Linked DNA regions of Mus musculus. The protein of the gene in region 2 interacts with the protein of the main gene of each other region in a pairwise test. Links are inferred from orthologs where the notes say so. Each region holds a gene or a part of one and is shown on either strand. Other genes may lie near its edges.

Region 1 (3,521 bases), on a different chromosome or scaffold from region 2:
ACTCAGGCCCTCAGGCTTGGCTGCAAGTATATTCATCTGCTAAGCCGTCTTGTTGGCCCAATCCTCTCTTGTCTACTTACTGTCTAAGAAGGTGATTTTCTTTTCTAGGTGTAAGGGACCAGAACTACAAGACTGTTTAGGCCAAGCAGAGGTATTAATGAGGTAAGATCGGCTTGGAGAATGTTGGGTTCAGGAATGTTTGGGAGAAAGGTCAGGGAAAGAACGATGTTATTTGTTCTGCCATATATATATATATATATATATATATGTTTTACCTCATTTATGTCTCTGCACTACTTGCTTGCCTGGTCCCTTTGGAGGCCAGAAGAGGGCATGAGATATCTTGGAACTGTAGTTATGAATCTATGAGCCATTATATACGTGTTGGGAATTGAACATGGGTCCTTCACAAGAACAGCCAGTGCTCTTAAGCACTGAGCCTCTCTCCAGTGGCCCACTCTGCCCTTTTAAGTTTTCATTTTTAGCCTGGTGGTGGTGGTATACACCTTTGAACTCAGTACTCGGGAGGCAGAGGCAGGCAGATCTCTGAGTTCAAGGAACAGTCAGGGCTACAAAGAGGAACCCCTGTCTTGAAAAAAAAAAAACCCAAAAAATTATTTTTTACATTTTTGTTTATTTTGTTTTTGTAACATGGTGTCTCTATATAGTCCTGCCTGGCATGAAACTTGCCGTGTATGCCAGGGTGTTTGATAACTCACAGACATCCTCCTGCTTCTGGGTCCCAAATACCAGGATTAAAGGCATGTAGCACTATGCCTACCTTTAAAAGTTATCTGTTTTACTTTATATGTATGAATAGTGCCTTAATGAATGTTTGTATGTGCACCATGTGTGCCCGTGCTCAGGGAGACCAGCAGAGGGCACTGTGTTCTCTAGGATCTAGAGTTAGGATAGTTCTGAGCCACCATGTGGGTTCAGGGAACCAAACCTGGATCCTCTTTAGGAGCTCTGAACTGCTGAACCATATCTTCAGCCCCCCACCCTCACCCCCTTACTTTAAATAATATTTGTTTTGTTTTTAAAGATTTTATTTATTATTATACATAAGTACACTGTAGTTGTCTTCCGACGTGCCAGAAGAGGGTGTCAGGTCTCATTACGGATGGTTGTGAGCTACCATGTGGTTGCTGGGATTCGAACTCAGGAGCTTTGGTAGAGCAGTCAGTGCTCTTACCCGCTGAGCCATCTCACCAGCCCTAAATAATATTTGTTATTTATTATTTGGAAATGTAATACAGTTATGTGATATCTTTTGATCATACCAATCCACCTTTATCTCCTTCCAGATTACCTTCATGCCCTTCCCCTTCCTGATTTCCTGTCCTCCTTTTCATTGTTGTTATTAATAACACCCTGGGTCTATTTAGTGTCACTGGTATGCACGGGGTATGGGACTGTCCACTGGAGCCATTCTTCCCTTTTATATATATAGTCCACCATCCCTGGACTCAAGAGTCCTGGCTTCTCGAATTCTCTTCCTAGATTAACTTAAACTGGCTTAAAAGGGGGCAAGCCCTGTATCTGGGTTGATTCCTTCAGTGCTCATGGGCATTAATAGAGATGAATGCTAACTCACATGTACACCAAATAAATGACCTTTGTGAAGCCACTGTAAACCCAGGATGCTGGCCTTTTCTGTATCCCACAGCAAACCACACCTGGTCATAGCGGTGACAGTAGGACTGACTGTGATCTTCCTGATTCTGGGAGGCTCTTTTCTCTATTGGCGTGGACGCAGGATTCAGAATAAAAGGGCTATGAGACGCTACTTGGAGCGGGGTGAGGTGAGTATTTATCTAGCTTAACTTTGGGAAGCATCCTTTACAATCTGCTCCCAGGGAAAATCGATGAACCTTGGTTCTCTTTCTCAGGAAATATGGTCCCTCTCTTTGAGGGGATGGTATAGAGCTATGGATACAGCTCAGAATGCTTGCCTAACATGTACAAGGACCCAGGTTCAGTCCTAGCAACACGAATGTACAGTGCACATATGTGTACACTCCAGTCCAAAAAGTAGGGAGATGTTCTCATCTTGTTTTTGCCTTTTGCCACAACGATGAAGAAACTACTTTCCTTCTCTGTGGCTCAGTTTATGTCTCTTAGATACAATAACATTCATCCTTCCAAGGTGATGGGTAGTGGTATGTGCAAGTTCCTTGAAAGCTTAAGCATTTTGGTCCAGGGCAGTAATTCTGGCACTCAGCCAAGGCAGAAAAGATTGCCCTGAGTTCAAGACAAGTCTGATCTACACAGCAAGTCCTCATCTTCGAGGACAGAGGGATAGAAAACCAGAATCAACCTTGCATGAAAAGTCTTCGAGATGGGGGTACCACCATATCTCCTCGATTCCCTCCTCCTACTCAAAGGGAAACCAATCCCTCTTGACCTTTCTCATCAGCACAGCTTCCTCAATCCTATAGTTCCTGAAGTGTCTGTTGTTCCTCAGTGAAATTATGAAGCTTTCCAAGACTAAGGACTTATCTTCTTACCCTAGGCTCTGAGCTCTGCTGCTCTTGGTGCAGAGGCAATAGGTGGGACTAGGCTTGTGGGAGTGGGCTTTTACAAATAACTCCTTCCTGTCCACCCCTCAGAGCATCGAGCCTCTGGACCCAAGCGAGAAGGCAAACAAAGTCTTGGCTAGAATCTTCAAAGAGACAGAGCTGAGGAAACTTAAGGTGCTTGGCTCTGGTGTCTTTGGAACTGTACACAAGGTGAGTGACTCTTGGGAAGTCTAGAGAAGTGGGAACAAGATGCCAGGGAAAATGGGAGAAAGATTTTGGCAGAACACTGTCTGAAAAGAGTGATTTTTTTTTAAACCTCCCTCCCTCCCTCCACTTCAAACTTTCCAGGGGATTTGGATTCCCGAGGGTGAATCCATCAAGATTCCAGTCTGCATTAAAGTCATCGAGGACAAGAGTGGGCGGCAGAGTTTTCAGGCTGTGACTGATGTAAGTTAAAGAAGGGACTTCATCTGTAATCTTCAGACTCCAATTAAGTGGATGCCATAATGAGAGAGGCAGTGTTGGTTTCGGGCATGTAGGCATATGATCTTGTGTTGGCAAATAGTGTGTTAGATCCATCTTAGGCATGAGTGTTAGGGGACCTCTGGATTGGGTGTGCTTTTGTGGAGTGTATGCAAACCCGTTACTTCCTGGCTAACACCTCTTATATTTTGCAGCACATGCTGGCCGTCGGCAGCCTGGACCATGCCCACATTGTACGGCTGCTGGGACTGTGCCCAGGGTCATCTCTGCAGCTTGTCACTCAGTACTTGCCTCTGGGCTCTCTCCTTGATCATGTAAGACAGCACCGTGAGACACTGGGACCACAGCTGCTGCTCAACTGGGGAGTACAAATTGCCAAGGTGAGGGGAGTCAGGGGAGGCCTTTGATAGCAACAGCTTAGCTGGGGAAGGTCGGGGTTGAGGAAGGAGGATTAAGGGTTTGAGGTCATGAGTGCTGTCTTCAAGGTGTGGCCAGCTGCTATTGCTCAGTGGCCGA
Region 2 (3,521 bases):
AGGGCAAACGAAGGCATCCGAATTCAAGTCAAAACCCAGATGATGTGAGACCCAACATCTACAGTGAGTTCCAGGACAGCTAGGGCTATAGGGCTATAAAGAGAAACCCTGTCTCGAAAAACCAAAGAGAGAGAGAGAGAGAGAGAGAGAGAGAGAGAGAGAGAGAGAGGGAGGGAGGGAGGGAGGGAGGGAGGGAGGGAGGGAGGGAGGGAGGGAGGGAGGGAGGGAGAGAAACCTGACATCTGAAAAGCAGGAGTGGAAGACAGGGACACAAGGAGAAACAAGACATGGCAGGCCTGGAAAGAGACAAGAGTATACCCGCCAGAAACTCAAGACACTGGGAGAGAGGCTGGAGAGATGGCTCAGCTGTTAAGAGCGCTGGCTGTGGAAACAGGACTAGGGTTCAATTCCTAGCACCTATATGGCAGCTCACAACTGTCTCACTCCAGTCCCAGGGGATCAGATTCCCTTTTCTGGCTTCCACAGTCATGAAGCAGACATGTGGTACACACACACACACACACACACACACACACACACACACACACATATATGGGCAAAAATCTCTTGGGAGATACTCTAAGTTGACAGAAGGCAAGATATAGAGTTATGACATAGATATGGCTCACAGAAAGAACATGGAGACTTGGAAGGCAGGAGATAGTGACAAGAGAAACAGAGACATAACCTCTCTCTCACATACAAGGGTCAAATACGGGACCCACATTCACATGATACAGGCTTTTATACACAGACTATAGACAAATAAAAGTGTCATACACTTCCACTCCCAACCAGACAGGTTCATATTGATAGGGCTGCAAATCCCACCACTTACGCTTGGGTTTCTCATGGGACGATAATACACAGCCACCCCTGCACAGTCACAAAGATGCACAGTTACAATGCCCACAGCAGGCTATCGCTTGCATGCAGTTACACATACACATAAAGGGTAGCCTCTGTCGCCTGTGCATAGTCACATGCATGCAGATGTAAAAGCAGAGCCCGATGTTCAGGCTTGCAGAGTTGTGTCCTCAGTGCATTATCACACACACACACACACACACACACACACACACACACACACACACACGCCATTGGCCCTGTCCTTAGCTCACACACAGCTAGGTCACCCCTGAGTCAAAGCAGCCAGCGAGATTCATATATAGACACGTGGACCCAGTTAGACGGGTGTGGGTGACAATGTCACTACGGCCTTCCATATTCAGAGTCTTTCTTAGGCTATCACAAGACAGCAGCATTTAATGACATACACTATCACACTTATCACACACAGAAAGGAGATGACAGCCACTATATAACATTACATAGACATATCCATAATGTATTTAATCTTATGCTTCTATTCTACACAATTCCACAACAGTATCTCTTAGGGATACCCTTACAGCCATGCACTCAGAAGAGCAGACAGAATCAGAAGGCACACACATGCATATATACACAGAGCCAAGACAGTTGTTTACGTGTAAAATGTCACAGAGATAGGCCACTCACAGGCACCCATATATGCATAGGCAGACAGATACATAAGGCCATCCCCACCACCCTGTCCCAATAGCCATCATAGGATTAGTCACCTGGTAGTCAAAACACACGTCAAGGAGGCAGATGTGTGCTGCCAGATACAGCAATGTTATATAATAACCTGAGCCTTACCTCATAGGCGATGGGAAGTACCAGACGATGCCATGCAGCCAGGTAATCAGCATCACCCATGCGGGGCCCATTCCAGGGCACATTGACAGTGAAGCCTATACCTGCATCTCGGCCTACTTGGCTACTGGCACCCTCATCCCCCATGGGGAAGAAAGTGCCACGGTCATACCGGTGCAGGGACACGTATAATACACTGCCAGGGAGAGGGTGGGATGAGAAAGGGGCCACAGCAGGTTAGAGGCTATGAACATCCCTGCAGGATGCTTCAGCATCCTCTCACACCATACTCTTACCCACAGTCCCATCACTCACCTAGGGTCATCCTCAAATATGTGCTGAGTTCCATTACCATGATGAACATCCCAATCCACGATTAGGATCCTGGGGAGGGAGATAGCCCTTTTTAGCACCTTGGGACAGTAAGGCCTAGGAGTGGGCCACTGCTAGATTTCTAGGGTCTTTGGAAGCACTTGTTGCTGGGCAACAGGACCATGGAGTTAATGAGAAAGCACTGCTATTATTCTAAGAATGAAGGTCCAACCTTGGCTTCCTGAACTATGGACCTGAACAAGTAATTAAGGCTAGGGACTCTTCTAATGCTAGGAGCCCAGGCATGGGTTCTGTTGGGATAACCTGTTCAGGAATGCTGGTGTGATACCCTGGATCCTAGTTTATTAAGCATCTAGATGCCATGGCACTTAACACACCCGTCCTGGGGCTTTTGTAGTCAAGTGCTGCCCAGTGGACCTTTGCTTGTTTCTGTGTAAGCTCCCAGGGGTGACCATGGGTCTGCCAAGTAAGACTGAATGGAAAGAGTAGCCAGATCCCTGCAAAGATCGGGTTTTGGGGGTCTCTGGGGGGGCAGGCCTTACCGCAGGGCACGTCCAGCAATGATCTGGGCATGGCGAGCAGCTACAGCTACTGAGTTGAAAAAGCAGAAACCACAGGCAGCATTTGGCTCCGCGTGGTGTCCTGGAGGGCGCACTACTGCAATGCCATTTAGAACCTGTAGGGAGGAGCAGCGAGACTGCCTCTGGCCCTCACTCTCTTTTCATCTTTCCCAGGCTTCCCTTTCTCCTGTCCGCCATCCACTCGGCCATCCACTCCGTGGTTCCCCTCCCAGCAGACTCTCCTATTGCCTCTGGCCTCCTGAGTGGGAGCAGGTAGTCCCTCTCTATGTTCCCAGGACCTCATTTCTTCAGCTAAACTTCACTAGCACACAGAGAAGACGCACCTCTCCCGAGAGCACAGCTTCCACCAGGCGGCAGGCAGCGCCTGTGGCAAGCTTTGCGCAGGCAAAGGTGCTGGGGCAGATGTAGATGGAGTCAAAGTTGGCACCTTCACGGTGCAGATCCCGGGTTTTCATCTTTTCTGTGGTGCGGAGATGCTCCACGTACTCAGCACTGGTGATGCAGAGGAACAAGAGTCGCCAGCTTGTCCTCACATAAGAACTTGAACCTGTCTAGGTGGCTCCACCCATCTTGGAGAGCCCTAGGCCCTACTCCTGGAACATCCCTAGAATCCTACAGCCGGCCTCCCCCCAGCACGGGGTCTGACCTGTGGCAGGTAAGGAGCTCAGAGTCCAGGGCAGGCCGAGCAGGTAGGATGAGACAGCGAGCCGCAAGGCCCACCTCCTCCAGGTGACACATGATGCGTAAGATGCGCTGAGGTGTCTCAGGGTGATGACTAACAGTGTGGAGAAGCAGAGCCAAGGGTTTAGTGACTGAGGAGAGTGACCCAAACACCACCCACCCCAGCCCTCTGAGCACACACTTGTCCCAGAGGTTGCAGTGACTCATCATCTTCTCATCATAGACCAGCCCAGTGCGGTTCTGGAG

What was found.
Region 1: the proteins of Hdac6 (region 2) and Erbb3 interact in a protein complementation assay, tested with the Homo sapiens proteins (2 studies listed by BioGRID and IntAct, with this or other methods). The link is inferred for Mus musculus from reciprocal best matches to the Homo sapiens genes HDAC6 and ERBB3.

What each region holds. Positions count from the first base shown.
Region 1 is NC_000076.6:128,572,623-128,576,143, reverse strand, and holds part of Erbb3 (receptor tyrosine-protein kinase erbB-3 precursor), read left to right. Parts: intron 1-108; coding exon 109-162; intron 163-1,669; coding exon 1,670-1,805; intron 1,806-2,612; coding exon 2,613-2,732; intron 2,733-2,870; coding exon 2,871-2,969; intron 2,970-3,199; coding exon 3,200-3,385; intron 3,386-3,521. UniProt on the Homo sapiens protein: Tyrosine-protein kinase that plays an essential role as cell surface receptor for neuregulins.
Region 2 is NC_000086.7:7,934,387-7,937,907, forward strand, and holds part of Hdac6 (histone deacetylase 6), read right to left. Parts: coding exon 3,457-3,521; intron 3,370-3,456; coding exon 3,241-3,369; intron 3,087-3,240; coding exon 2,918-3,086; intron 2,690-2,917; coding exon 2,556-2,689; intron 2,065-2,555; coding exon 1,996-2,064; intron 1,877-1,995; coding exon 1,684-1,876; intron 1-1,683.